2 linked regions of the Pelodiscus sinensis genome follow. The protein of the gene in region 1 purifies or fractionates together with the protein of each later gene. This does not show direct contact. Links are inferred from orthologs where the notes say so. Each region holds a gene or a part of one and is shown in the gene's direction. Other genes may lie near its edges.

Region 1 (15,837 bases):
CATCTGGGCAACTGGCCACATCTGCTTCAAATGGGTTTTGAAACAATCTCACTTCTTCTGCCTTTGAATCCAAAAAGGTCTCCACGGGCCGGATGAGAGGGCCTCGCGGGCCGCATCCGGCCCCCGGGCCGTAGTTTGGAGACCCCTGGTCTAGAGCATCCTTCTTTCAGGGGGAAAGGCTGACCTGAGGTGGGCAGAGTTTTTCTCCCGCCTTGCGGGCTGTTTTTGTAAGTTTCGGGAAGTAGTTAAATCTCGGCGGGTAGGGAGGAGGAAAGCCAATTTACTTTTAACTTAACTTGGTTTTGGTTAATTCGGAGCCAGTGGTGCAAGTCTCGCTTACCCTGGGGGGGCTGCCGTCCCAGCTGAACCACTTGTGTGAGTAGGGGATCCTCTCAAGTTCACCCCTCAAAATAGGCTGGAAGCAGCGGGGAGCGTTTCACCCCACGGTGAGTCAAGGACACACAGTCGGGCAGATTGCATCAAATCCTGAGCCAGGTTCTGATACCTGGCTCGTACACCTTGCTGCACAGCTGGTCCCAGAGAAGTTGATGGGATGATTTTTGGATAGGGGCCTTGGCTTCCTGGTGTGTGCGTCTACGCTGGAAATTGGGGTGATGTGCTCATGCTGGTTTTGAGCCCGTTAGCACGCTGGGAATGGCAGCCATGGTTGCACAGATGGTGGGAAGGGCTAGTGGATCTGGGTATGTATGGGTCATATTCAGGGAGGCTAGCCCAGCCCACCGCTCACACCCCCATGGTGCTGCTTGTAGCAGAGGGGAAAAGGGTGTGTTCTTGGCTCCGTTTGGCTCACCCAAGCTGGGACGTGAGACAAGACAAGGCAGTGGGTCGAGTTGAACCCCAGGCTCGTCTCTGACACGGTCTGCTCAGGGCTGGCCTTACCATGAGGTGAACTGAGGTGGCCGCCTCAGGTGCCAGACTGGGGGAGGCACCACTAGTTCACACTTTTTGAACAAGGCATTTTAAGTTGTTAGTTCTCCTTTATTGGGATATCAGGGGGTAGCCGAGTTAGTCGGTTACAGAAAAAAACCAGCAAGCAAATGGTCTGGTAGCACTTTATAGACAAACAAAACATGTAGAACAGGAAGGAGGCAGAACTGAGACCTTTCAAAGTTTTGGCCCAAGCGAGGGGACATGGGGGCATCATTTGAGCTCCTCACCTCAGGTGCCAAAATGTTGTGGGCTGGCCCTGAGTCTGCTGGCTTGTGCTAGAACTGCTGCTGCTTAGGGTTGCCAGGTGTCCAGTTTTCTACCAGACAGTTCGGTATTTGCACCGTCTGTCCAGTAGGAAAATTCAGAAAATACCGGACACGTGCAATGTGTGGTATTTTCTGAATTCCCGTCTGGATGCTGGATGGAAGCCTGGCAGGGGCGGGGGAGAAACTGGGAGGCAGGGCCACGATTGGCTCTAGGAGCCTATGGTTGCGTGCAAAAGCCGGGCAGGGCGGGGGCCAGGACTCCCAGCCACTCCCCCCGCCCGGATTCTATGCACAACCAGAGGCTCCCAGCGCCAATCGCGGCCCCGCCTCCCCGCTGGGAACCTCTGGTTGTGTGCAGAAGCTGGGCGGGGGCAGAGGCTCCCAGCACCTCCCCCTCCCCCTCCTCCTGTCTAGCCCCCGGACCCCCCCCGCCAGCTCTGCCTCCCACCCCCCATCCCCCCTTCCTCCTGTCTAGCCCCCGGACCCTCCCCGCCAGCTCTGCCTCCCACCCCCCATCCCCCCTTCCTCCTGTCTAGCCCCCGGACCCCCCCCCCCACCAGCTCTGCTTCCCACCCCCCCATTCCCCGCTTCCTCCCGTCTAGCCCCGCAGCCCCCGGACCTCCCCCCGCCAGCTCTGCTTCCCGCCCCACCCCCTCCCGGCTGGTTCTGCCCCCCCCCCCCCCCGCCCACGACCAAGTGCATCCAGTATTTTGGTGGGGTCTACCTGGCAACCCTAGCTGCCTTGCCTTTGCTAGAATTTGAACTGGGGCTGGCTAACGTGTGTTAAGGACACGACTTTGTCGGCAGTGAAGACAAGGCCTAAGAGACGATTCACTGGGATCATGGTCTCAGAGTCTGCTCCTCCATTGTAATTCAGCCCTCACAGACGATGCCCTGCTCACTTCAGTGACAGCTTCTCAGGTGGAGCGAGGCCTGCTCTTTGCTGGGCTCGTAGAAGACCACTGAGAAACTAACGCCCACTCGGCCCGGGGCTGAGGCTCTACAGTGGGAGGGAAGAGAGATTCCCACCTAGCCATTGGCCCACTCTTTGTGTTTTAATGCCTACGTCACAACGAGACGCTTCCCTTCAGAGAGGGAAGCAGAAATCTGGCCTGTTCTCACAGCACCCCCTGAGGGTACGTCTACACTGCAAGCTTATTTAGGAAAAAGCTATTCCGGAAGATATCTTCCAGAATAGCTTATTTCGAAATAGAGCGTCCACACTGCAGGGAAGCCTCAAAATTAGCCCGAGGCCGGCTCCCCTAATGCGGACGCTCTATTTGGATAGAGCCCCAGGAGACACGAGGGAGGAATAACTTTAGAATGGCCCCAGGGAGGGGCTATTTTGACATAGCAGCGAGGCGTCCCCACCCCTCCTTCCAAAAAAGCTTTTTCAGAAGAGGCCTCACTCCTCACAGAATGGGGTTGACCAGCGTTGGAAAAAGCCCCCCCGTTATTTCGATTTTCTTTTGAAATAACGCAATTGCAGTGTGGACGCTAGTATTGTTTTTCCGGAATAACGGCCGTTATTCCAGAAAACCGGTGCAGTGTGGATGCACCCTGAGGTGAGCAAGTGCTGCCTGAGTAAGGCAGCAAGGGGCAAGCTAGGCCAGTGAGTGGGCCGCAGGAGTAGCCCTCCTTCACCTCAGCGGGCTACAAGGTTGTGGTAAAAACCTGAGTCCTGTGAGCTGGGGTTGCCAAATTTCTAAGGGCCCAAAACCAAAGACCTTTGTTCCGCCCCCTTGCGCCATTCCCCCTCCCTTCTCCGTCCCTCCCTTTCTGCAATCTGGCTTTGGGGGTTGGGGGAGGGAAGGGGTGAGGGCTGCAGCTAGGGGTGCAGGCTGTGGGGAGGGCAGGGGCTGGGAATGAGGAACTGGGATAAGGGAGGGGGCTCTGAACTGAGGCTCAGGGGTTCGGAGTGTGGGTGAGGGTGTGGGCCCTGGGAGGGAGTTTGGGTGCGGGAGGGAGTTTGGGTCCAGGAGGGGCTCCGGGCTGGGGCCGAGAGGTTCAGGGTGCAGAGAGGGACTGAGATAGGGGTCTGGGGTACGGGGTGTGTGCAGTGTCTGGGCAGCGCTTACCTAAGATGGCACCCAGGAAACGGCCTACAGGTCCATGCGGGGAGCGATGGAAGCGCCACGTGCCCATAGGCACAGCTCCTCCTGCAACTCCATTGGCTGGAGTTCCCGGACATTGCCAGTTGCAGAACTGGTGCTTGGGGTAGCGGTAGAGTGTGGAGCCCCCCTGAACATCTGCACCTAGGAGCTGCAGGGATCTGGGAGCCATGCAGACCCACTTTGAGGTCCCAACCCACAGCTTAGGAGGAGGGATAGCTCAGTGGTTTGAGCATTGGCCTGCTAAGTCCATGGTTGTAAGTTCAATCTTTGAAGGGGCCATTTAGGGATCTGGGGCAAATCTATCAGGGAGGGTACTTGGTCCTGCCATGAGGGCAGGGGACTATACTTGATGACTTCTCCAGGTCCCTTCCAGCTCTATGAGGTGTGTGTATATATATATATATTTAGAGAGAGAGAGGTAACCATTGGACTGGATAATCTAATGGTCTTGTGTGGCTTTAAACTCTATGACTAGCATCCTGCTTGGTGGCTAGGATTCCCCTAGGGGCAATGGCAACACAGAGAATCAAAAATAATACACCGATGGTTCAAGGGTTAACAGCAACTTACTGGGAAAAAATGTAGGTGTCACAGAGAATACCTCACTGCAGACCTCAGCTTGGTTGTGTTGTGTTTTTGGGCCGTAGGCCATGCTGGGTGCTATCATACATAAATAAAAGCAATCTGGCGCGGTGGTCAAAACATCAGCTAAGAAAACTAAGAAACTTCAGCGCTGAGAAGACCAAGGACGGTGAGGGAAGTGTTAGAATCCATTAGTGGTGCGATTTCACCTGGAATACTCTGGCATTTGCCACTTCATCTACAAACAGCAGCAACAGAAGTAGGAAAGATCCAGACAGGCCCAAGTCCTTAGCTGGCTGTTAGTACCTGTGAGGGAGCCTAAATGCTGTAATCAAGTCGCCTCTTGATCTTCTTTCTGATATAAATCCAAGGGCCCAATTCAGCCCATCTCTAAGCTTTAGCTATCTTGGCTTTGTCTCTACTAGCATTTTTCTCTCCCCCCCCATGACTATAGCTGACGTGCCTGACTTATGATGTTATGGGAGTTCCGGTTCTCTGCACTGCTTTCTCTGCAGTGTTTATACATTGCCTAGGAACGATAAGTGACCAAGGAATGATGTCCAGTGCTCATCAGTATATGAAATCCACAGAGCGTGCCAAAGCTCCCCCATCACATCTCTAGATCCACACATCATCTGGAAATGGCCCTGTGATTTGCAATTGCACTACAAAGAAAGAGCACCTGGATGGGCTCACATAACTGGCCTATGTGTATGTACTTGTCAGGCATGACGGAGTTATTTAGGGACATTTTTACAGCGTTTCTCACTGAGGTCGCTGGTTGCCTCACAAATTCAGCCTCACAGCCTCCCTTGGTAAGGTACAACACTCCTCCGCTTGTAGGTGGAGAAACTGAAGCGCAGAGAAGTGACTGACACAACTGGCCCAAGTCACACAGGAAGAGATGACTAAGGAATGGCACTTAGATCTGATTCAGAAGAAAACTCCTGAGCTTTAGCTATTACACCTTCCCCCTAGCTCCTATACCTGGCATAGCTCAGATCCCTAAAGGCGTGGGGATCTTGGGGGTGCAGGAGTGAGGAGGGACTCTGGGCAGTGGACTGGGTGTGTGGAGAGGAGAGGACCAAAGTCCCCACCCCCTGTCAAGATTTGTACCAGGTCTGCTTGCTCTTCCCCGTCCTGGCCCTGTCAGGAAGTTAGAGCAAAGTACACAGCTTGTCTGCCCCCTGCACTCCCAGCTGGAGTGAGGACTGTGGACTTTCCCCTTGCTCCCTAATGTAGGGGAACAGCCAGCAATGTCCCTGTATGAATCTGGGGGAGAGCTTCAGCCCCCACCTCTCCGAAAGGGCATTTGGGGGTGGAAGGCTCAGAGCTGGGGCAGTCCTATATTGGAGGGGGGTTGCATCCCCAGCCAGCCCCTTTCACGTACTTGGTGATTGTACCTCTTTTCTGTTTGGTTTTCTGAGAAGCAATCCCATTCCAGGCACATCCCACTTTTCTGGCACAACCAAACCCTTACGTTGCTGTAAGTTTGGTAAGAGGAAACTGTATACCAAATTTGGTGGTCCTAGCTCTTATAGTGTAAGAGGATTTCTTGAACAAACAGACAAACACTCTGGGGTAGATAGTAGATATACTAATAATATTTCACACTTATGACTCATCTTTGCACGTGTACATTGGTTTCCTCATCTTATAAGTACAGCTACTCTTTGCTCCCCAGGTAGAAGAAGGTGTGCTTGGGACCAAAAATTGTAAACAGATGTGGTTATTTGTTTTTTTAATCTGGGATTCTGACAAATTACATTTCTCCAGGAAAAATTTCATATTCCTTGGCATGTTTAGTTTTTCAATTAACTTTCCAAATAAAAACTTTGTTTTAGAATTCTTCCTCATATTTTTTTACATTTCTCTTTTTTTCCAGTGGGAAAAAAGCGGGGAGGGAGATGTTTTTAAAAAGAAGAGAAAGTGGGATTTAGACATACACAATCGCATGAAAACATTTCAGAACAATTTTAAAAAACATAATTTTCTGTAGACATTTTTGCCCCCAAAATGAGTAAAAATTCAAATTAAACAGAAAATATGTAATTAAAAACAGTGAACAAAACATCCTTTTGTTCACCAGCTCACTCTGAAAATATTATTCCTCATGCTTCTTTATGTGCTGTTAGATAAGCATTGAGCTTTCAGGGCATTCATGTAGCTGCAGATAAGCAGAGCAGATTTAGATTAAATCTCAAGGGAAAACTTCCTAACTGTAAGACCAGTAGGACAATGGAACAGAGGCCTCACTGGAAGTTTTGAAAGAGGAAACTGGATAGACCACTGTTTTGGGTGGTTTAGACTCATCAAGCCTGTGTCTTGGCACTAGGGGTACGTCTAAATTACATGGCTCCATTGATGGAGCCATGTAGATTTGTTTGTTCGGCAAAGGGAAATGAAGCCACGATTTAAATAATCATGGCTTCATTTAAATTTAAATGGCTGCCCCGCTCTGCCGATCAACTGTTTGTCGGCAGATCGGGGCAGTCTGGACGCTCCCCTGCCGACATGAAAGCCCTTTATCGACCTCCCCGGTAAACCTCATCCTACGAGGCATAACGAGGAGGTCGATAAAGGGCTTTCAGGTCGGTGTGGGAGCATCCAGACTAGCACGCTGAGCCAACAAACAGCTGATCAGCTGTTTGTCGGCTCAGAGTGGCAGCCATTTAAATTTAAATGAAGACGCGATTATTTAAATCGCAGCTTCATTTCCCTTTGCCGATCAGCCTAATCTACATGGCTCCATCGAGGGAGCCATGTAGTTTAGACACACCCTGGATGACTTAGTCCCTTCTACTATGGGCGGTGGGTGAGCGTAAGGTTGGGGGAAGCAAGCTCCCAGCTTCACCCCTTCTGCCCAAAGCCTCCCTGGAATGTGTCCCCAGCCTCCCTGGCCCCGGAGCTGCCCCAGCATCCGCAGTCTCAGCATGGCTGAAGCCCGTGGGCAGCAACACTCCACCCCCAGAATGCCTACTGCTTCAGCATGGCTCCACGTTGGCATTCTGGTGGCCCAGTGTGGGTGAGGCCAAGCCTGGTAGTGTGGGAAGGCAACATCTTCCCATGCCTCTTATACCTGCCGGCCCTGCCATCTCGCCCAATCATTCTATGCTTACTGACTTCCAAGAGTCCTGGTGAAGCTTCATGATTAGCCTTGCTAAAATGCCTTGGATGAAAGCCACTGGGGCTGGGATCCTTAATGGGACAGAGCCCTTTCTCTACTACTAGTGGGACTGTGCCAATGCTACTGCAATGGCAGGCGACTACGCAATGTGCCAGAAGAGCCAAGACTTCCATCCGCAGTGTGAATCCCGCCAGGTTGGTGATAATCAACCCAGCTAGTAGCTGCTAAGTGGGGTTTCAAGGCAATTTGTACTGGGGAGCTGCTCTCATCACAGGAAACCACCAGCATGACTCACAGTTCTTGCCTCCCTCCCATCACAGAGAGACCCAGGACAACAAAATAAAGGCTCATAGCGACTTGGAGCCAGGTAAAAGTCTGAGTTGAGGTTTTGAGCAGCCGGGGGAAGCTTGTACTGCGGCTACCTGTGCTGTACCTGTTCGGTGGATGAACAGAGTTTATTTATTCTTCCAGTGTCCACAATCTGCCAGCAAACACAGCAGGGATGGTGCCACAGGACAGGCAGGGAGGGAGGGAGCATACTTGGGGTATCCTATGCTCCCTCCCTCGGACTGGGGACAGAGCATACTTACAACCTGGCTCCTGCCCACCAGGGGGTGAAGCAGAAGGGTAGACACCTGCAGGGGAGGAACCAGCACCAAAGGAGAGAGGCAGGGCAAGTTTGTAGAGGGAGGTGTTAGGAGAGAGGATGAGGCGGGGTAGCTCACGTGATCAGAGTGGGGCTACTGGAGGAGTGGGCACAAGGGGGAGAGAAGGGCTGGTGGAGGGGGGCAGGTTGCAGGAGCGCTGAGGGCAGTGAGAAGGGCAGTGCCACTGTGGCCCCCAAGTTATTAATAAATATTTTTAAACCTTAACCTTTTCTCTCTGCTGCCATGTCTCCTCCCCTTGTTCCATCAGCTCCCCTGGTGCCTGCTACTTCCCACCCCAACTCCTCACCCTCCTCTGCTGTCATCCAAACAAGCCACATGAACTCAGTACTGGTGCACAACACAAAATTCATTCTGCTCATGGGAGGAAACTCTTAGGCTATTTCTACACTGGCGGCTTCTTGCACAAGAACATCTTGCGTAAGGGTTCTAGTGCAAGATCTCTTGTGCAAGCACGTCTACAGTGCCATGTGCGAGCTGTGCCATTTTAGCCATAGGGGTTTCTTGCGCAAGAAATCCCTGCCAAGCATCCACACTGCCCTCTTGCGCAAGAGAGCTTACACTTGTTAGAAAAGAGCATAGCTCTTGCGCAAGACGCCCTCTCTTACCACGCCGTACTGTAAATTTCCTTGCGCAAGAGCAGGCAGGCAGTGTGGCTGCTCTGTGGGTTCTTGCACAAGAACAGCTGTACTTGTGCAAGAAGCCGCGAGCGTAGACAGAGCCTTAGAGGGAACCCTTCCCCCAGCCTCTCTGCCCCGAGTTAATGTCACACACATTGGGTTAATGCAACTGCAGGATAGTTGCATGCGGGCGGTTTGGTGGGGGCCAATCTAATCCCTGTTGGTAGGCGGATGGTGGGAAAAGCTCTTGGAGAGGAGTGACATGACATCTTTTACTTCTGGTCATGTGTCCATCTTGCCCCCTCTGTGTTACCGCCAGAGGCATGGCTAAAAGGGGGGGGGTCAGAGGCGTGGCTAAGGGGGTGTAAGGGGGCGTGGCTAACAGGGCACGGGGGCGTGGCTAATGGGGCACCACCAAAAATTATACAAGCCCATGCATGGCAGGACCTGGGGCATTTGGCTCAGTGCCTTTGCCCCTAGCCACTGGGGCAGTTGGTTTGGTGCTTGGAAACTGGCTTGGTTCCCGGCTGGGTCCCGATCTCAGCCTGCCGGGCTGGGGTCCCTCCTCCTCCGGCCGCAGCGCGGGGATGGGGGGCGCGGTGGGAGGGACCCCGCGTCTGGGGCCACAGCTGCTAGACCCCCCCCCCCCCCCGCGTACCGCCCCGGGGCAGGGCTGGGCGGGGCGGCGCTGGCTCTTTAAGGGGCTGGGCCGTGGCCGGCTGGCGCGTCACTCGCAGCAGGTAGGAGCCTCCCCCGAGCCAGCCAGCGAGCAGCCGCCGCCGCCCGAGCCCTGCGGGGAGCAGCCGCGGGAGGCCCGGCCATGGGGAAGGTGCAGCTCTTCGAGATCCGCCTGAGCGAGAGCCGGGTCGTCTACAGCCCCGGGGAGCCGCTGGCCGGCAGCGTCACCGTGCGCCTCTCCGGGAGCCTGCAGTACCGCGGTGAGCTTCCCCGCCGCAGTGCCGCCCCCCCCCGTATCCCCGGGCAGCGGGCCCCCTCTGCCCCGAACAGCGTGCTCCTAGGGCTGCGAGCTTCCCCGCCGCAGTGCCGCCCCCCCCCCCCTATCCCCGGGCGGCGGGACCCCTCTGCCCCGAACAGCGTGCTCCTAGGGCTGCGAGCTTCCCTGCCGCAGTGCCGCCCCCCCCCCCCCGTATCCCCGGGCAGCGGGCCCCCTCTGCCCCGAACAGCGTGCTCCTGGAGCTGCGAGCTTCCCCGCCGCAGTGCCGCCCCCCCCCGTATCCCCGGGCAGCGGGACCCCTCTGCCCCGAACAGCGTGCTCCTGGAGCTGCGAGCTTCCCTGCCGCAGTGCCGTGCCTTTCTCCTCGCCCATTGCGTTTTTCCGGGTGCAGGACCCTAAGGCTGCGAGCTTGTCCGCCGCGGTACCTGCGCCCCTTACTTGGCCTCCCGGTACCGGAGCCTCACCGCTCGCAGGCTCCCCTGTTGCCCTCCGGGTCCATCCCTGCACTTAAAGGCTGAGCTCAGTGTGAACAGGTTGGGCCTCTGTAAACTGCTTCCCCTCCGCCCCCACGCCGCTTGACTAGAAGCTGCCTGCCTGGTGACTCGCAAGAGATGGATTTTCAGCGAAGTCTGCTGGGGGGGGGGGGGGGCAGTTTTGGAGGCATCCAGCCCATCCCCTCGCTGGTGGGGCTTTGTGTTGTTTCATCCCACCTCCTGTGGCTAGGACTTGGCCGCCCTCCTCCAGCCTCTCCTCCGTTCTCTTGCCTCCCTTTTCGTCTGGGGGTGGGGACGGAGGAGTTTCCCTTCTGCGTGTGGGGGGTTTTTTGTTTGGTTTTTTAAAAAATCTCTCACGGGCAGCACGAAGAGAACTTGCTCTAAGGGTAGGTGCGTGCTGGGACTCAGGATAGCTTTGGGGTGTTTAAGCATAGCCTGCGTTAGCAACAGTTTACTCACTGTCTGTCTCTCTCTGTTATTTCCCCTCCAGTTCATCTGAAGTGGGTTTTGCTGTTGATTCTGTATATTCTGCTTAGTCTCTAAGGTGCCAGGGGACCACATGTTGTTTCCCTGTGTATGTAATTTAATTTCTCTCCCACCTGGGTTTGGTGTGAGCTGTATCTGGACAAAGCAAAGGTGTGTGCGCATGCTCCCCTTTCAGACTTGGGCTGGAGAGCTGTTGCTAGGACCCTTCTCGATTTCAGGTGTTTCTGGCACGACTCTTAACAGCCTTTACTTGGGGGAAGGCACCTCGGATGCTGTAAACCAGGGGTGGGCAAAATGCAGGTCATGTCCAGCTTGCCAAGTCTTTGGATCCAGCCCGCCTGGACTCTCAGGCAGGCTGTCTGCCCGGTGCCTGTAGGCATGGCATCAGCTGGCCAATGGGAGCTGTGGTGAGCGTGCTGGGGGCAGGGGCCGCGCATTATGTCTCTCCTCCCCCATTCCCATATCCCCTCCTGGATCCTGCACCCCAAGTCACAACTCCCCCTCCTTCACCCAAACTTCCTTTCACACCCCACACTCTCTTCTGCTCCCCAGTCCCCTACCCTGGGCTCCCTTCTACACCCAACCTCTGGCCCAGACCTCACGCTCCCTCCATAGAAAAGTGCAGCTCCTTAATCACTTACCAAAATCTTGATGGAGAGCCACTCCAAGAATTCTTGCTCAGCCCTGCTATAAACCCTAAAACAGACATGTAGTGTTGACCCATCATCTAGCTGTGATCTTACTGGAGACGGACCTTGGCACAAGCAGTTAAGATCTGATTCTGAGCTTCCCCATAAAGTGTAGGGAATTCTTGGGGTTTGGAATGTAGGAAGTCCATGTACTCCAGTACTCCAGGGTCCATGTACTCCAGTACTGTCTCCAATATTGGCTGCAAAAAAATCCTACAGTACACTGAGAGAAACTGTCCTCTGCCCATTTCTCCCTCCTTCTCCTCCCCTCCTCCCACCACTAGACCTCTTCCTTTTAGCTAAGATCGGAAGCATGAAGTTTAATATCTGGGTGCTGGCTTGTTTCCAGTTTGTCCCAGCTTGTCGTAAGTCATAGCTAGCTGGGTTGGAGCACATGTTAATACTTGGTCCTAAGGTGGCATCTCTCTGTGTTTAGAGGCCAAACTATTGTGGAAAATACTTGAACTGTGACCAAGTGTTGAACCCTGTTGTCATTGTAGCATGTGTATGGCAGGAGAGGCTAGGTTGTATGGCTATTTGCTCTGATTTCTGTTGTGTGTTTTAATTGTGACTGATTTATGGGTTTGCTTTAAGAGGTTACTGCATCATCCGCATGGAAGATGCTCAGTCAGAACTGTTGGAAGTGTGTGTGTCTTGCTTTACAGCCAATAGTTCTGTTACAGCCCCATGTAAGGGAGTGGGGAAAGAGGCTGTGTATAGGGACCTTGCAGAGAATAGTCTCCTGCTCTCCCCCCCCCCCCCCAAAAAAAAACCCCAACCTAACTGCTTAGTCAAACATGAGATTAAAGAGATGACAAATTGAGTAGCTTAGAGACAAAGCCCATGGCTGGGTCCAGAGGATCCTCGCTCTTCCACTGCCCGTGCTGTTCAGTCTATGTGGCTTCCAAGTTGCAGTGGCCTCTGAAGACCTCTGTAGAAGCAGCTCCCTTGGTGAAGAGCTCATGCTCCAGTGTGCGGTGAAAGTCCCACTTCAGCATCTTCCCTTGGGACCAGTTGGGCTTTGACTAATAAACGAGAATCAGGCCTGTTGCTGTCTGGAGGCTCCTGATGTGTGACTTGGCCTCATTTCTCCCCTCTCCTTTCCCAGACAGCGGTGATGGGGGTAGGCAGCGTGGTGTTTGTGCTAGGCCCACTGGCTATAGTTGAGGAAGAGCCCTGAGTGCAGCTGCACCTCACTAATAAATTAACTACCACAAAACTCTTCTTAGAGTCAGTGAATCCTGTACTGTGTGTGCACTGGATTGCGGCCGATTGTAAGACTTTGACTTAGACTGGTCATTTTCAGAGAAGGATTCCAAACTCTAAGGCCCTGTCTATCCTGGGGGGACTCCTAAAACTTTTTTAAAAAGGAATTTAAACCCCTTCCTGTCATTAATGCTAAGTCAGCTGTGCTGATGTTAGCGACCTGCAGACACCATGGAATGGAACAGTTAGTGATGCAATGTTACCTCGGAGAACTTCCTTAGTATAAAACAGAGCTTCATCCTATAATCTATAGGCTAGAAGGAATGGTTAATTGGATGGGGGTTGGAATATGTGAGCTTGGTTCTTAACTCTGCTACAGGCTTCCTGTGTGACTCTTGTCAGTACCTGTTTCTCCTCTTTGTGAAGTATTAGCATCTCTCCCCCCCCCCCCCTTCATTGTTTGTTTGCAAAGAGCTTTGATCGCCCGCATGATACAGAAATGCAAATTATTCTTTCTTGCTTTTTCCCTTAAGTCTGAGTCTCTTTTCCTCTCCCCCCCCCCCCCCTCTCCCCCTTCCTATTCTCCTGGCTGCTGTCTTTGAATCTTGGGACTGTTTCCAAGTATTTAGATTCTTAGTCCTTCTGGTCAGGGGCCTTGTTCTGTGACCTTGTCTAGAAAACAGAGTTGCTGTAGACTTGAAGCAAGTATGCCTGTCTCATTTTAAAACTCCTCTCCCATTGGACCTTGGTGTTTTTCTTTTTTTCTTTTTCTGGCTTCTGAAAAAGCTATTGTACAGAAATAGTTAGAGGCTCGGTGATGATGTGTTTACATCCACTCTCATTAGGAAATGCTACTTTCAGCATGAGACTTCTAATGCAGTAGCCACTAGGGATGTTAAAATGCATTTCTTTGTGTAAATGTGTATCGCTGACATTTTTCAGCAGATAAGTTTACATGTGAGGTGGGGGCAGCAAAGCCAGCTCCCTTCCTCCCCCTGCTCCATATCGCTTCTGTAATAGAGCTGGGAGGTGGAAGAGGAAGTGCAGAGGGATTTTTGCAGAAGCTGGTTCCCTGCATGTATCGGCTCCCACCTTCCCCCTGCACTTCTGCCTCTGACACAAAGGTGCTATGGGGAAGTGGAGGGAGAGGAGGATTGTGTGTAACCGAGAGGGTTATTGGTTAACCCTGTTCTCAGCTACATGGTCACATCCCCAATAACCTCTGACTGCTCCCCCCTTCTCCCCCATCTTCTCTCTTCCTGAGAACCTACTCCCGCAAACAGGGCAGAGCCGTAGCATCAGGGTTCTGTCGAACTAGTCCAACGAGCCCTGATGCATTATTGGCCAACTGAGGTAACCATGGTTACCCCAGGCTACTGACTCTACTGTCGGCACGTGGAGCCGCCATTAGCAACGAGACTTTCTGCAGAAGTTTTCTCCCTTTGCCTTCCGTCAGGGTTTCCTTTGCCCCATAGAACAGAGCTCAAAGGTTCTATGACCCCTTGTTTGGAAAAAGTGCCCCCCAGCCCCCAGTTGTACTGTTTTTTTTTTTTTAAGGCCTTGAGCATGGGCGGTGGGTGAAGGCACCTCTGGGGGAGGCAAGCCCATAGCCCCTCCTCCAGCCCCACCCCTTCTTCTGAGGCCATGCCCCTTCCCTGCCCCCATGGGGAGCCAGGACAGCACGCTGTGTACGTGCTCCCCTCCCAGTCACAGGAGAGCAGGGCAGGGCCGGCCTTAGGCTGATTCGCCTGATTTCCCCCGAATCGGGCCCCATGTCCTGAACCCAGAAGTGTGCCAGGCGCCAAGCGAGTTACTATTCAGAGCTGGGGCCCTGCTCCAGCAATATTTGGAGCTGGGTCTCTCCCCCGGCTCTGCCTGGAGCGAGCCCGGGCCCCCACCTGCCGGCCCCCCCACGCATGAACCCACCCCACCCCCAGAGCATCCCCCTGAACCCCGTCCCTGCCATGCGCGGCTCTCGGTGCGGCTCCCCTTTGCTGGCGGCAGCTGCTGCTGCCATGTGCAGTGTTCTCAGGTGGACGGGGGGGACGCCCGGGCATGATGTGACATTACGGCCCGGGAATTTAAAAGTGCTCGGCGTGGCGTGGCTTAGCAGCTCTGGGTTTGGAGTGCAGGGCCTGAGTGTAGAGTCCAGGGCCTGCAAAGTGGAAGGCAGAAGGTAGGGGAGAGGGAAAACTAGGGGGAGCGGGGGGGGGGGGAAAGAGGAAGGGACCAAGAGACAGGGTGGAGGAGAAACAAATGCCAGGGGGGCAAGTGCAGGGAAAAGGGCAGGAGGGGAGGTGTCAGTGGGAGGGGGGGGACGACAGGGTGATGCTGGAGAAGGGAAGGGCATTGGGGGCTGGAGAGGGAGTTGCTGGGAGAAGGCTTGAAAGAAGGAGTGGGCATGAGAGGTGGGGATGGAGCAAGTTGTGTATGAGAGCACAGAAGGGCAGGAGGAGAATGGGGGCAGAGAGTGGTGAGGGGGGTGGGCATCAGGGAAAAAGGGGGCAGGATAGTAAGGGAAGGGGGAGGCACCAGGAGGGTGCCAGGCTAAGAGAGAGTGCAGGTGCCAGGGAATTCTGGGGGTGAAGCAGAAGGGCAGACACCTGCAGGGGAGGGACCAGCACCAGAGGAAAGAGGCAGGGCAGGTGTGTGGAGGGAGGTGTTAGAAGAGGGGATGAGTAGGGGTAGCTCCCATGATTAGAGTGGGGCTACTGGAGGAGTGGGCACAGTGGGGAGAGAAGGGCTAGTGGAGGGGGGTAGGTCCAGGAGGGCTGAGGGCAGTGAGAAGGGCAGGAGTCAGGACAGCAGAGGAGGGTGAGGAGTTGAGGGGGCAGCAGGCACCAGGAGAGCTGATGGACCAAGGGGAGGAGACATGGCAGCAGAGAGAAAAGGTTAAGGTTTAAACATATTTATTAACTAGGGTGCCACAGTGGCATATTGAAACAAGCCACATGAACTCAGTACAGGTTCACAACACAAAATCCATTCTGCTCATGGGAGGAAACTTTTAGGCTATTTCTACACTGGCGGCTTCTTGTGAACAAGTCCACTCTGTCATGTGCAAGCTGTGCTTTTTCATAAGAACATCCATGGCAGTGTGGATGCTCTCGTGCCCAAGAAAGCTCCAATGGCCGTTTTAGCCATAGGGGTTTCTTGCGCAAGAAATCCCCGCCAAGCATCCACACTGCCCTCTTGCGCAAGAGAGCTTACACTTGTTAGAAAAGAGCATAGCTCTTGCACAAGACACCCTCTCTTGCCACGCCGTACTGTAAATTTCCTTGCACAAGAGCAGGCAGGCAGTGTGGTTGCTCTGTGGGTTCTTGCACAAGAATGGCTGTACTTGGGCAAAAAGCCGCGAGCGTAGACATAGCCTTAGAGGGAACACTTCCCCCAGCCTCTCTGCCCCGAGTTAATGTCACAGACATTCGGTTAATGCAATTGCAGGATAGTTGCATGAGGGGGAGTTGGTGGGGGCCAAACTAATCTCTGTTAGGAGGAGGATGGTGGGAAAAGTCCTTCGAGAGGGGTGACATGACATCTTTTACTTCTGGTCATGTGTCCATCTTGCCCTGAACATGTCACCTCCAGAGGCCTGGCTAATGGGGGTTAGGGAGTGTGGCTAATGGGGCACCACCAAAAATTATACAAATCTGCTGACTCTGCCAGCCCTGGAAGTGGAGTT
Region 2 (15,342 bases), on another chromosome or scaffold:
GCATTATCACCTCCAGGTACGGGGAAGGGCCATTGGCCTCTCGCTGGAGAGGATGATCATTGATGTGAACCAATGCTGCCTCAGCCATGCCAGCACTATGAGGCTGAAGGAAGCTCTGAACTCTCATACCCTCAGGATCACCTTGTGTACCAGAGGAAATGGGGGTAATATGTAAAGCACTGGAACGGCATTCCACAGTGCCCCATGGAGAAGCAGACCCAGGGACTCCTTTCTGTTCTGGTGAGTCTCAAAGAGGTCCAGTTGGGGAAATCCCCACCTGTGGAAGATGTGGAGGGCAACGTCCACCCTGAGGGACCACTCGTGGCTCGCAAAGGACATGCTGAACTGGTCCATGAGGGTGTTCTGGGTCCTGGAAAAGGAGGAGGCTATTGTTTAAATACTCTCTCTGAAACTGATCCCAGAACCAAAGGGCTTCAAAATACAAGGGAGGAGAACGAACACTACCCTGATTGTTTTTGTAGAAAAATGCTGTCGTATTGGTGGAAGAGAAGAGACTTGCCCCTGAGGAGGGGGAGGAACAGCTGACCTGTGAGATGGGCTGTTCATAACTCCCGGATGTTTGTGTGTAGGGAGAGTTCCTCCTGGGACCACTTACCTTGCATCCTCATGTCCCCAATATGGGCTCTCCATGTAGTGTCGGGTGCATCTGTTGCTAGCTTGACTGATGGCAGTGCTGGGAAAATGGGATTCCCGTGCAGACCGCTTCCTCCTGGAGCCACCAGTCCAAGGAGCATAGGATGCTGGGAGGAACAGTCACCACCCTGTACCATGGGTGGGAGGACAGGATGTACACCCAAGCCAGCCACAGCTATAATGGTAATGGGCTCAGGGTTGGGGCATGTGGAGGGTGCAGGAGTGTTATGATGCTGTGGAAAGATGGGGGCTGGGCCCCAATTGGGGCCTTGTTGGCCAGACTTCATTTTTAAATAAAGTAAAATATTATAGTCAACATGAAAGGTATCAACATTGTCTTTATTTATGGCAGGAGTGGGGAACAATTCTGGGTTAGGGGCCGCTGACCCACAGAAAAATCCATCAGGGACCCCAAAAGTAAAAAAAACCCTCCAGAAACCCCCAACTCTCACTGATGTAGCTCCCTACTGAAACACTTCACACTCCTGGTGCTCCATAGTGGGGGGAGGGGCAGGAAAGACTTAAGTTCAAGGCCTCAAGCTAGATTTTCTTTTCTGGGGTTCCAGGGTTAGTAGATTTTCTGGGCCCCAATAGGCTCTGGGGTGGGGCCAAGAATGAGGGGTTAAGTGTGTGGGACAGGGCTGCCAGTCAATGGGATAGGGATGGGAGTGCAGGATCTGGGCAGGAGGAGAGGGGTAAGGGGGCGAGGTCTGGTCGGGGCAGACTACTTGGGTAGGGAGCAGGAGTGGGTTGGGATCAGGCGGCCTGGCTAAGGGGGATTCTGGCCAGGGAACTGGGGGCAGAGGTGTTTGGCTGGCGGGGTGGGGGGCAGCGAGTGAGGATGCTGGGGTCTGGGCATAGGGCACTTACTTGTGTTCGTGCTGCATGGGAGGTACCATGTAACACGGCCTCCCCGTTCCCATTCCCTAGAAGCCCGCAGTAAGTATTTGCAGGGGAAGCTTCCAGAGAAGTGTTTCCTAGGGGACAGAAAAGGGCAGTGCACATGGAGCCATTTTTCTCTGTTTCCTGCATGCTGAGGGAGGGAAAAGAGCAGTGCACCCAGACACGTTTTGCTCCACTTGTTCCCTGCATGCCAGATCCAATGGGAAGGATCAGGGCTTTTTTCCCCCCTGCAGGAAGCCAGCACTGGCATTCCAGTCTTGCTGGGGCCAAAGGCTGTAGCAGCAGTGCTGGCTCCCTACAATGGGGGGAGCTGTGGAGTGGGGCTAAGCTGGGGCTCCAGAAGAGCCCTAGTGAGCCATATTTGACTTCCAAGCCATAGGTTGCCAACTCCTGCTATAGACTGTGCCAAGTGTCTCACCGCACTCAGTCCTAAACACCTCGGCTGTGTCTACACTGGCACCCTTTCCGGAAAAGGGATGCTAATGAGACACTTCGGAATTGCAAATTCCACGGGGGATTTAAACATCCCCCGCGGCATTTGCATGAACATGGCTGCCGCTTTTTTCCGGCTCGGGGTTTTGCTGGAGAAAAGCGCCAGTCTAGACGGGATCTTGCGGAAAATAAGCCCTTTTCCGGAAGATCCCTTATTCCTACTTTCAAGTAGGGCTTATTTTCCGCAAGATCCCGTCTAGACTGGCGCTTTTCTCTGGCAAAACCCCGAGCTGGAAAAAAGAGGCAGCCATGTTCATGCAAATGCCGCGGGGGATATTTAAATCCCCCGTAGAATTTGCAATTCTGAATTGTCTCATTAGCATCCCTTTTCCGGAAAGGGTGCCAATGTAGACACAGCCTTCAAGTCAAGTGCTTATTGTGTTCTTGTTTAAAAGAAATAATAGGCTGCATACACTACAGAGCAGAATGACAAGTTGCAAATACTGTAAAAATTAAAGCAGATTTAATAACTATTTAAATACAAAATCAGCATATTAGATATCTCTACAAAGCAATCACACACACACACACACACACACACACACACTCTCTCTCTCTCTCTCTCTCTCTCTCTCTCTCTCTCTACTCTACTGGCTTATATCTGTGATAATCTGGCCTGCGGAAAGGACTTGCCCCTGCCCACTAATCAGTAAAAGAATGGCTCACTGGTAAGCAACACCTCCTACTAAAGGAAACTGGATGTAGCAGTCTCCCTGGCTGCTGGACGGTACCTCATAGCATCTCTTTCCAGCTAAAGGGAAGTGTGTTTTCTGGTATTAAGAGTTATCCATACAGTTCACTAGATCAGACTGGTGCAGTGGGAGGTAAAGCAGTCAGTGCCACTCTAACTTAGTTTGGGCTTCCAAACTAGTCCTTGGGCTACAGTTAGCAGAGATACACTCACTACTTATGCTGACCTGAGAGGACTAAGAGAGGCGAACAGGGCTGTGGAACAAAATCCCATACATAGGCTCATTTTAACCTGTCATTAAGTGAGGTGAGATGCAGAAACTCAGCTTACCACTGTTAGGTTGGGAAGAGGAACAAGGTATTGAAAACTTAGGAATTTCAGCAACATAATAGGATAAGGCCACTGAAGTTAATTAAAGATACCTATCCGCTTTATTAGGTTTCCAAATCAAGTTCTTTATCACTAAGGGATTTTCACTGACATCAATGGCAAAATGCTGAGTAACAGCACTAGTGGCAGGAGCAGGCCCTGGCAGCTGTCATACAATCCTAAGGACAGTATAAATTAAAATGGATGAGATGATTATTTGCTAAGCTCCAGCAATATGCTTGGCCCTGTACACATCACAGAGGAAGGCATAGCCTCTGACTCACAGAGTTTCAAACTAGCCCCACAGAAACAAATGGATCAGAGAACTGGAGGAAGCCTAGCAAACAGCTCTTCAATTATTAAATTTAAAAAACTAGGGCTGTGTCTACATTGGCACCCTTTTCGGAAAAGGGATGCTAATGAGAAGTCGGAATTGCAAATGCCGAGGGGGATTTAAATATCCACCGCAGCATTTGCATGAACATGGCTGCCGCTTTTTTCCGGCTCGGGGCTTTGCCGGAGAAAAGCGCCAGTCTAGACGGGATCTTGCGGAAAATAAAGCCTTTTCTGAAAGATCCTTTATTCCTCTTAAAATCAGGAATAAGGGATCTTCTGGAAAAGGCTTTAATTTCCGAAAGATCCCATCTAGACTGACGCTTTTCTCCGGCAAAGCCCCGAGCCAGAATAAAGCGGCAGCCATGTTCATGCAAATGCTGCGGTGGATATTTAAATCCCCTGCGGCATTTGCAATTCCGAAGTGTCCCATTAGCATCCCTTTTCTGGAAAAGGGTGCCAATGTAGACACAGCCTAGGTGTATAACAGCACATCTGATGTAGCTGGGTTACAGTATAAGGGTCTTAAGGGAATCTGAGTTACTCTTAAGTGTGCATTAATTGAACAGTGCATGAAAATTGTTTGCTTCCATATAATAAGATGAATAGTTAAAGTCTTAACACTGCAAGTACTGGGCTGTGTCTACACTGGCATGAATTTCCGGAAATGCTTAAAATACTATTCCCTTTTCAGTTTTTCCGGAAAAGGAGCGTCTACATTTCGTGATCGGGGCTTTTTTCCGGCAAAGACTACTGGGCTGTCTACACTGGCCCTTTTCCGGAACAGTGTTCCGGAATAAGGACTTATGCCCGAGCAGGAGCAGAATAGTTTTTCCGGAATAGCAGCTGATTTTGTACAGTAGAGCATCGTTGCTTTTCCAGAAATTCAAGGGCCAGTGTAGACAGCTCGCAGCTTATTCCGGAAAAGCGGCTGATTTTCCGGAATAAGTGGCCCAGTGTAGACACAGTCCTGGTGTATAGCACCTGTTTTGACCACCTCCTGGCCCTTTAGGCTACTTGTTCCAAGGTGCAGCAGAATTAAATCTATTAAATCGCAGACTACCAATAGTGCAAGGTGTTCTAGCTGGCAGCCTGTCACACCCATACGAAGCTGTTTCCAGCAACAGAGCCTTAAGCAAAGCCAGGGCTCCTGCAACTTCCACAGAGCATTGTCCTCCTATGATTCACAGGTCTGTGACTCCTTTTATTGCTACTAACGGTAGCTGTTCCCATGAGCTAAAAAGGGTTCCTCAATGTACTGGTCAGACAACCATCAGTATCCAACAGTAGACAATTGTCCTGTTTCAGTAAGTTTACCATTGCTAGTCTACAAATCCAGCACACCAACCTGGATAAGCAGAACCGCAGCACTGCAATCCTAGCTCTCAATAATAATGAATCCTGCTCACTTTACAGGGTCATTCTAACCAGCTACCCACCTATGAGCTGCTAAAACACAAATGAAAGATGTGACTGGAGACAAAAATCTAGCACATAAATGGGACTTGTACAAGAAGCTTTAGAGAGGAATAATTTCTTTGCTATAAACTATGTTTTTGCTAATCTTGGTTCCATGATGAAACATTTAAAGAAACTAGTCAGATTCAGAGACCATGCTAGGATGGGGGAAATGGAAATCTGCATTACAAAATGATACATGCTAACAAATGTCAGACAGGTGAGACTTGTTAGCTAAGGTGAACTGGAGTACATAAAACCTGTCTGCACTGATCTCCCATCAGCCAGCCAGAAAATGTTAATTTTATTTGGAGGGTCTTCCTCTTTGATACAGAGTAGATCCAGTACATATAGGATCTCAGCTTATACCCACTCAGAAATCTTCTGAAATATGCAGATACCTATAGATCAAGATGCTTCAATCTTAGTTTTTCCAGCATGTGAAGATCTGATCTGAACTGTGGCACTCACAGGTGCAGGGTGGTATGGCACTTAGAATCTCCTGGGTTACATGACATCACTTCCTGTCTAGCTCAGCCTGGTACTTCCTGGAGATGAATTTGAGCTGCTGTTTTGTCTCCCAGCGATTCACAGAGGCTTGGGTAGGGAGTTTCACAGTCTTTTCCTTTTCCATCTGTTAGAGGACAGGGTACTGGATGAAAGCTGATCCCTGTTTCTCTCACCAGCAGAAAATACAGAGATTGCAGCAGCTCAAGATACCATCTTTACAGCCAAATCAGATAGATAATGTGAAAGTAGAAAGAATTATACTGTAAGAGAAAGATGAATTATGCTGTAATAATTGAATAAGTTGAAGGAATACTGTTTGTCTCTGAACAGGAAGAAGAAAAGTATGTTAATGTTTGTTGTTTGTAGGTATGCAGATCAGAGTGCTAGCCAGAGTTAATAGGAAAAGGAACATTAGGTGTTAGGGAGAAAGCAATTGAGATAACCAAGGAGATATGGACAGGAGATTGCTGTGTGTTTGATGTGGAAATGAAGATACTTGACTAGCCTCACACTAATTATGTGAAGTTTTGCCCCTCTTTTTAATCCTGTTAATTTTGGCTTTCTTTTGACTGTATAAATCAAGGGGTTTGAACCTTGTATGGCACTCGCATTTTCTGGGTGCATTTAGCAGAGCGGCTTTGCTAATAAACAGAGCGCTCTGACAAATCTGTGAGTCCTGTCTGACTTTGACAATTTGGAGGTTCCACCGAGATGGCAACCGTCTTCGCTGAGGCTGTGTGATCTCTGACTGTCTTGCAGGATGACCGTGGCAGCCGGCACCTGGGCATTTGGCCCGAGCGGTCCTCTGCCAGAATGGAAAGGTGCACAACCACAGCGAAGTCTACGCCATCGAACCTGTTGGTTCCCGCTCTGTTCTGGTAGGGATCCAGGGATCTAACATCAGGACTCTGGTCAGGTAATTATTTCTATGTTTTGTCCGGACTGAGGACTGTCTTGTCTCTGTGTCTATCCGTCTTCCCTGTGGTGTGAGTGAGTCTGGGAGCCATCCCTGGCCGGGGACTGGCTGACCAAGGGGCTCCTGTCCCCGCGGTCTGTGTGACTGGAATCTGCACAATCGCAGCCGCACCGCACCTTGGATAAAATCCTTGGAGTGAACGCAAGGGCGATTGAGGCAGTAGCCTGTGGGCTTCTTTTGTGTGTTGCACTGGGCACCGCTCTGACGAACCCAAATCTCCTCCTTGTGTGATTGGTGTGTGAAGTCCTCCTGTATGGGTAACCAGACGTCTAAGCGGGGGCAGTTCCCTAAAGGGACCCCGGCTCAGTTTATATATTTTAGAAAGGGTCTGGACCCCTGTACATTTCTGGAAAAATGATCTAGATTGACTCTGGGGGATCCCAAAACTCAGTGGCTACTGTTAGGATCTTGGAACAAAGACCAAGTGGACGTCTTAAAAGACAAACTTGGCCTTCCCAAAACTAAATTGGCTAGAGGAGAGGTAGATTGCTTCATGCAGTGGTGGGACGAGGCAAATCTTAGATGGACTGAATCGAAGCTTGCCTCCCTAAAAAATTCTAATTGTAAGTAAAAAGCTTTATTGGAAACCTCCTCTCCCACCACCAGACCAAGTGCTTCCCTTTACCCCATCCTCCGAGAAGACTCAGACCGGTCCCACTTGGAGCTATAAACCCTGGACCCACACGGAGTTCCACTCAATTGTAAAAGGTTTTCCAAAGCCCCAGGAAAACCCTACCAAATTCGCAGAATCCTCTGAAGCAGACCTCCTGCAACTGTGTAAGCTACTTATAACCCCTAGCAAGCAAGCAAAAAAAAATGGCTCCTGATAGCAAATTGGCTCACCACTGAGCATCATTCTAATTTGCCAGACACTGGTCCTGACGCTGCCTACTGGAACAAATGTAAGAATCAAGGTAAGTGCCTGCATGAGGCCATTCCCCAAGTATGGACTCCAAAAACCAATTGGACGGCCATACATTGCCGTAAACAGCAACAGAGAGAAAACCCGGGCAACTATCACACAGACTGACTGATGGTTTTTTTTTCCTGCAACATTCTGGTATACAGCGACCGGGTGAAAATGGACAGGGCGCCCTGGCGCATGCGTTTGTTATTGGCCTCCTATCTGCTATTAGCAGTATGTTAAAGCAAATAAGTGTTGGACGGGAGGCCAAGACTATGGACAAATTGCAAGCAGTGGCAGAGCATTGCCACCAAACTCTAAGGCTGTGTCTAGACTACATGCCTCTGTCGGCAAAGACAGGCAAAGGCAAATGAAGCCGCGATTTAAATGATTGTGGCTTCATTTACATTTACATGGCTGCTGCGCTGAGCCGACAAACAGCTGATCAGCTGTTTGTCGGCTCACGCGCTAGTCTGGACGTTCCCCCTGCCGACATCAAAGCCTTTTGTCGGCAGCCCCGTTATGTATGGCACTCGCATTTTCTGGGTGCATTTAGCAGAGCGGCTTTGCTAATAAACAGAGCAGTTTGACAAATGTGTGAGTCCTGTCTTTGACAATAGCTATCTGGAATTTGCACAGCTTTAACAAAGGTTATGACATCTCCATACAAAGCAAAGTAAGGAGAACTGGCTGTACAGAATTGTGTGTCAGGAGGGGAATGGCAGCAGTCATGCAGAAGAGCAAGAGAGGAAGGCATGCAACAGCTACTAGTTTTCAATACAGGTGTTTTTTGGAGGTAGGGAGTTCACTCAGACTTGAAATATAGTTGAAAAGGAGCAGGATAAGGAAGTGGAGAGAAAGGGGCTCCCTTGTTCATCTTCTGTGCCCACCTGGCCCTAGTAGGTTAATTAAATGTCATTTGTCATATGCACATCATGTGAAACAGCACCAGGCAGTGAGAGAACAAAGGCTAATTAGTATTTTTCTGACCCAAAATGATGCTAGTTGGGCTGAGAAAGATGTGGGATGATGGGAACTGAAGAAAATAAACAGGGCTTCAGAAACCAAAGTTCTGATGGTCTCCTTTAACTTTTTAAAGAAGCGAGATAGAAAAGATGGGGAAAGTTTGGTCTGAGGCCTTCTCCTTTGAGGAGGGGAAGTTTTGTTTTGTAGTACACATGACTTCCAAATCTCACAATGGGGCAGAGTTTTCTTACAGTGCTTCAGAGATTGTTTCCTACCCATGTTCTATGCATCCAAACAGAACAAGTTTGGCTTTCTTCTAGTACTGCCACTCATCTCTGCACAGGAAACTTCTGTTACAGTGCCTTGCTATTACCTTGACTTCAGCAAGTACCAGCATAGTCTGCCCTGCAACATCACTGCCTGGCTGTACTAATATCTTTGTTCCTCACATACACAGGAAACTCTACTACAGGCTGTTTGTTCCCTGTTCTTCATCCTCTCATTAATTACCTCTTTGCCATAGTTCCCTTCACTGGGAATATTCTGCTGTTTGTTTTTCATTAGCTCTAGCTGCAGGCTGTCAAACTTAGATTTGAACCAGCGGTGAGCTTCCTCCAGGTTAGCAGTGATCTGAGGGAGAGAGTAGTGATTAGAGTCAGAAAGAGAACTGTGAGCATTTCAAACTTCTGGGCTCCACAGTGGACAGGCAGGATTCCAAATACAGGCTTCTTTTAAATCTCCCATGTCTATGTAAGTGTAGAGCAAATTACTTGAGCATCCTCGCCTCCTTCCTGCAACATCATAGAGGATGTGGAAAGGTCCACCCTGCAGTGCTGTCCCCCCTTAACTCACTAAGCCTCTCATTAGCACTAGCCCAAGAGAAGACAATTCTAACTGGAGGGAAAAGCATCAAGAACGTGGTAGAGGAAGAGTATAAAATGGAGGCTAACTACAGCAACCCACTGAAGAAACATGGGAGAGCATGGTCTTTGCTTGGTAATGTGCGGGTACCAGCCTCATTTAAAGAAAAAATATTGTAAAATTACCATTCCAACTATGTTAGCAATTTATTTCAAGAACTCTTATTAAGTATAATCCTATAATACTCTTGCTGCTACCAAGAGTAGAGTTTGAATTGAAAGGTCCTTTGCTACTTACTCCCTTACCTATATTGCACACCTCCCTTGTAAAATAACTACAGTACTCTACAATTTGGAACCAAATCACTGTAGTAACACTCCTGAAAGGTACTGTGCTTTGGACTATTACTGTGCAATACTGTCAGCTTTCAATAAGCAAAGAGGTGCATAGGTGAAATATGAATCACCTTGTAAGAGAAGCTGTTTAATGTCATTCAAAATGGTACAACACAACAGCTCACATACTGCTTAATGGTGATGACAGTGCAGGTTGACATAAGCCATTGAACCAGGTGGAAACTAATAAAAAGAACTTCTTCTTACTGGCCCAACTCAACTATGATCATTTGTGTACCAGGCTATTAAGAGCTCTAATAGAAGAGACTGGAAAAACATCAGTCAATTGCCATGAGGAGAAATAAACTGTTTTTTGGGTCATGCACTGAGGGCCCCTAAGTGTTAAGAGCAGGCCTTTGATGAGGTGGAAAGTAAAGTACAGTCACAGATCTTGTCATCCTAAAGGAAGGATAATTCTAGCTTTGTACCAGATGATAGATATCTTCTTTCCCACCATTGTACTCACCTGTTCTGATTCTACACTGGCTTCTTTCAGTTTCTGCTCAGTTTCCTCTTTGCATTTCTTCAAGTGTTTGACTGTATCTTCTAGCTTCTGGAGAGAGAAAAGTAACAACCCCATGCAGGCAACAACACAAACCACTTCTGTATAACAAAATGAGCAGGAATATAGACTGGAAACTTCAGTAGAATAACTCCCAGCCCAATAGGTGAAATATTACAATGTTCTAATAAGCAGCTATATAAGGCCCCTTGGAATAGGAAATCACGAGCACCCTCCATCAGCAATAGGACCCTACAGATGTGGCCGGGCAACATGTTCAGAGGCAATACATATTCCTCTCCCCTGGACTGGATCATTCAGCACAGATCATGCTGTATGTCCAAGGCTGGATTTTACCTGACACTGGTTCTCTAGTTGCTGCCGCACTTTCTGCTCCATTTCCAGCTGCGTCTCCAGCTGCCTGTTCTGTGTCGCCACTTCATGCTGATTTTTGGCCAAGGTCTGCATATCACTCTGAAGACTTGTTAACTCGGTCATGAATTTCTGGATGCTTAGTGCCTAGAGATGGCATAAAAATGAGATCTCAGTGACTTCATGCAGATTCTACTTTTACAGAGAGGGGAAGTTGTATAGTGGGCCCTACCTGCTCATAGTTTTTCTTCTGATACTGCTCCTTGATCAGCTCCATTTGCTTCAGCTCAGATTCAATCTCCTGAAAATAATTTTAAATTAAATCAGGAGGCTCCAGTGAAATAGCATCATGTGACAGAGCTTGAGCTGCTCCAAACCGCATCCTCACTATGTGACCGAGTAACATACACTCTGCTGGGATCAAGCAGGCAACAGTGACACTGAGCCCACCACAGAGAATCTTCATTAAGGCAGGGAGAGAGAGGCCCAAGCGCCCGGCATCAATGTACCCTGGAAGCTCAGCGCTTGAGTGGCCACCCAGGACAGATTCAAATACTGCCCAACTGATTGGCAGAGCGCCCACAGCATGTATTTCTACTGGGGAAGATCCACATCCGCACATGCAGCAGTGCACATAAAATTTATTCCGCATATGAACGGAAAAAATTAGAGGGAACCCATGGTACCCATGGGTTTTCTACTGGCTGGAAATAATTTGTTTATATGATGACATAAAGGCAGCCAGAAAATGCTGGCCCTTCCCTTCAGAATCATCCACTGGCAAAAATATGCCTTACCCAATCCAGTGAACTGGGAAACAAATGGCTGCCATGAAGTGATCCACTGAGCTGTAGAATGACTCCATAGGAAAACCAATATGTAATGTAGAAGGAAAAGAAACAGGCCAAGCTTTTACTGACAAATTCAGACTCCTATTGACACCATGGTGTATCCTGTATCCTGGCCCTATTGCACAGGTCCAGCAGTAGCACTTCCAATTCTGGGAAGAGATTGTGTAAGAACAGGGTTATTCAGAGTGAAGAAGTATCTGCACAAACCTTTATCTTCTGTGTGTTCTGGATGTTGTTAGCCTTGGAGGTCATGTATTGTCTGATTTGAGACATTTGGCTCTTTAGCTTCCCCTTGTAATTGACCAATGACTTTTCCAATTCCATTACTTTCTGCCGCAGCTCCCTATTAGCTCGGGACACTTCAGCAGACTTGGAAGAAGCCTCTTCAAGGGCTTTCTTTAGCTAGGAGGCATGCAGAAGAGGTTAGTTCATGTTCACTCCAAAAAATGTCTAGCTAGGGTAATCAATGACATGTATTTCTTATGAACATCATGAGGAAGAGTGCCCAGTTCCCTATTTAGAAGGTGATGAGGTAGATGGTAAGTTGGATCTTTCAGTTATTCAGAGGGAATGAAAGACTGCACAGCTTAACCTCTTGTGTTTCTGAATACTTCTTTGGTCAGAGGACACAATTATAGAAAGAATACAGCTCACGACAGACCAAAGAAGCAGAGACTGCTGTTATCCTGCCACTTCTCTCCCATATGTCATTTTTTTATCACAAGGATTTTGTACTCTTTGGAGGCTGTAATCAAACATCGTATAACCTTCATACTACATAGTCTTTTGGTCCTTCCTGGAAACCATATTCTAATTAATCTTTGGTTGTATTCCCCTCTAGATCCTATGGAATAAGTAAGGTTTTCACACAAAAAGGGGGGGGGGACAGACATGATAAATCCATCACTAACTATGCTACGCCACCAGAACATCACGTCGTCCACTGCAGGCCAAAACTCTCTGTGTTGCTCTCAAATGATACTGCAGCACAAAAGGGAAACAAGCAGTATCATGGATCACTCTTGTTTTCTTATTATTGGGAAGTAGAGCTCTTCTCAGGAAACTGGCCAAAGAAGGAATCTTGCAATTCTGCTCCATCTCACCTCAGCAGATTCCCTGTAATTTGCTTTCCTTGTAGCCTCTCGCTCAGTCTGAAACTGCTTCTTCAGGGCCTCCAAGCGTTCAGTATACACCTTTTCTTCCATCTTGGCTTCTTCAATAAGCTGCTCCCTTTATGGAAAGAAGAAAGAGACTCTCAAGGAAATAAACCATACGGAGTGAATTAGTAAACAATACAAGTGGAAAAACCTGGCCACCAAAAAAAAAAAATTAAAAAAAATGGGGGGGGGGGGAGGAAGCAGGAAAAAGTGATGGTTCTGCTTGGGTGGATTCATTTGGCCACATTATGTTTGTCAAGAGCCTGCGACTTTTAAAACATTTCAGTCTGTTCATTCAATTGCAGGTTCAGCCACAATCCGTTCCTCAACAGCAGCTCCAAACAGCAATTCAAGATAGATTCTCCCTGCATGAGAGAAGCTGTCCTAGCATGTGGCTACTCTAAGCCAGCCAGCAGAGTTCACCCAGGAGAATGAGGCAGACTGCTCCAACTCAAAGCCTTTCTCATTGCTAAGGAAACCATGAAGGATTTCCATCGGCAAGCAGCCTGCGGTTTCCAGGAGGCAGACTTCTTCCCTGCTTCCATTCCCTGATGGCAGTAAAGGGCCAAGAGCCATATTGCAAGTCTGTCAGTGATAAGTGCTGCCAGCTATGCAGGCATGTCACTCACTCAAACAGCAGCATAGTGCTCCTCTGGACTGTTCAACACACACAGCCCAGAGGAAAGACTAGGTTCTATTTGCAGCCTTCTAACACTGCAGAGGAGCCTGGAGAAGTCACAACATCAGAAGGCAACCAGCTCATTCATGTGGCTTTGCACTATCAATCCACCAAGCTACTGGCTCAACACCCATGCCATGAAGATTGTTTCGGCAGCCGACAAACGGATGGAAAGGACCACAAGCTCTGCAGTTAGAAATGGAAAAGCAAAGTGTTCCTCAGCCACAGCACCTTGCACTTGTTCTTACCTGCAGGCCATCAATTGCTGATGCTCAATTTCTTTTCTGTCCAGTTCTTCCCGAGTATGTATCAGCTTGCTCTGCAGGGTACTATTGGCCTGCAGAGCTTGTTCCAAACTCAAAGCAAGTTTCTTGTTATCCGCTCTAGCGACATCTAGTGCTTTACAAAGTGGATCCACCTCAGGGGTAAAGAGAGAGAAAGAGAGAGAGAAATCTTATTTATATTTTAGGCATGTTGGAAGGGCATAACAAATGGGTTTTTCAGGGGTCTGTTTTGGGACTGGTTCTGTTCAATATCTTCATCAGGGATTTAGATGATGGCATAGAGAGTACACTTATTAAGTTTCCAGATGATACCAAGCTGGGAGGGATTGCAAGTGCTTCTAGGGTAGGGTCATAATTCAAAATGATCTGGACAAATGGGAGAAATGGTCAGAGGTAAACAGGATGAAGTTTAATAAGAACAAATGCAAAGTACTCCACTTAGGAAGGAACAATCAGTTTCACACATACAGAATGGGAAGTGACTGTCTAGGAAGAAGTACTGCAGAAAGGCATCTAGGGGTCATAGCAGACCACAAGCTAAATACAAGTCAATAGTGTGATACTGCTGCAAAAAAAGCAAACATGATTCTGGGATGCATTAACAGGAGTGTTGTGAGCAAGAGATGAGAAGTCATTCTTCCAGTCTACTGTGCACTGATTAGGCCTCAGTTGGAGTACTATGTCCATTTGTGGGTGACACATTTCAAGAAAGATGTGGAGAAATTGGAGAAGGTTCAGAGAAAAGCAACAAAAATGATTAAAGGTCTAGAGTACATGACCTACAAGGGAAGACTGAAAGAACTGAGCTTTTTTGGTTTAGAAAAGAAAAGACCGAGAGGGGACACTATAGTAGTTTTCAAGTATCCAAAAGGGTTATACGAGGAGGAGGAAGAAAAATTGTCCTCCTTGGCCTCTGATGATAAGACAAGAAGCAATGGACTTAAATTGCAGCAAGAGAGGTTTAGGTTGGACATTAGAAAAAACTTCCTAACTGTGAGGGTGATTAAACATTGGAATAAATTGCCCAGGGAGATTGTGGAATCTCCAACATTGGAGATATTTAAGAGCAGGTTGGATAGACATCTATCAGGGATGATCTACACCATGCTTGATCCTGCTGTGAGGGTAGGGGACTGGATCTGATGATCTCCCAAGGTTCCTTCCAGTTCTAGTATTCTACGATTCTAGTTAGTTGAATGAAAAGAACTTGTATAAACATCCCTTCCCTCACCACCTCTCCAGTAAGAACACAAGGGATCTCCCCCAGTCAGCATCAGTTTGCTGGACTGGAACTCTGGCCAACAGCTGCCCACAATTGGTAGTTAGTAAGCAGAGACTGCAAACACACTATTTGTATTTGCTAGAGAGAAATCCTCAGAGTGTGTTTCAGAAAACCAAGATTCACACACTGCTTTGCATCTAGGCTCCACAAGACATCAAGCTTTCTTCCAAAATGAAGGCTCCCCATGGTAGGCATAAGCTTTGGCCTGCTCTGCCTACATTACAGACAAAAGTATCTTTAAGTATTAAAACAAAACAGGTTTTAAACACAGTGATCTCTCCTGGTATAGACATTGGCCAAGAGATGCCTCCAGCAAAAAAAGAAGACTAGACTAAATATTTCTAAGATTAAAAGCAAGCAGCAATGTCCTCCTGCTCCCACTAAAAAGAGAAGTAAAAAAGAGAATAACATGAAGAAGAAAATAAGATACAGGTTCTATAAACCAGAACTCTTTGGTCCAGCAACATCTCCTGGATGTTCCAGGATCAGAGTCCTGGCTCACTGCGAGAGGTATGTGTGGCTACATCTAGACTGCAGCACTTTTCCGGGATACCACAGGTATCAGATTGCTTAAAGATTGCTTATCCAAGCAATGGGACAACTTTTCTGAAAAAAATTTCGGAAAAGCGGATGTGCCCTTTTTCCATCCCTGTAAACCTCATTCTACGAGGCATAAGGGATGTGTCTAAAGAGGTTTTTCTGA

Evidence for each region.
Region 2: the proteins of ARRDC1 (region 1) and HECW2 purify together in Homo sapiens (affinity purification with mass spectrometry; 3 studies listed by BioGRID and IntAct, counting the BioPlex papers as one, with this or other methods). This does not show direct contact. The link is inferred for Pelodiscus sinensis from reciprocal best matches to the Homo sapiens genes ARRDC1 and HECW2.

What each region holds. Positions count from the first base shown.
Region 1 is NC_134732.1:3,456,557-3,472,393, forward strand, and holds the start of ARRDC1 (arrestin domain-containing protein 1), read left to right. Parts: upstream 1-9,026; 5' UTR 9,027-9,145; coding exon 9,146-9,263; intron 9,264-15,837. UniProt on the Homo sapiens protein: Functions as an adapter recruiting ubiquitin-protein ligases to their specific substrates. Through an ubiquitination-dependent mechanism plays for instance a role in the incorporation of SLC11A2 into extracellular vesicles.
Region 2 is NC_134717.1:71,009,649-71,024,990, reverse strand, and holds the start of HECW2 (E3 ubiquitin-protein ligase HECW2), read left to right. Parts: upstream 1-5,670; 5' UTR 5,671-6,326; intron 6,327-8,766; coding exon of another isoform or gene 8,767-8,886; intron 8,887-9,978; coding exon of another isoform or gene 9,979-10,065; intron 10,066-10,371; coding exon of another isoform or gene 10,372-10,533; intron 10,534-10,618; coding exon of another isoform or gene 10,619-10,687; intron 10,688-11,444; coding exon of another isoform or gene 11,445-11,639; intron 11,640-12,340; coding exon of another isoform or gene 12,341-12,467; intron 12,468-13,321; coding exon of another isoform or gene 13,322-13,491; intron 13,492-15,342. Other genes in the region: CCDC150 (coiled-coil domain-containing protein 150), read right to left, coding at 5,418-5,534, 8,767-8,886, 9,979-10,065, 10,372-10,533, 10,619-10,687, 11,445-11,639, 12,341-12,467, 13,322-13,491. UniProt on the Homo sapiens protein: E3 ubiquitin-protein ligase that mediates ubiquitination of TP73. Acts to stabilize TP73 and enhance activation of transcription by TP73. Involved in the regulation of mitotic metaphase/anaphase transition.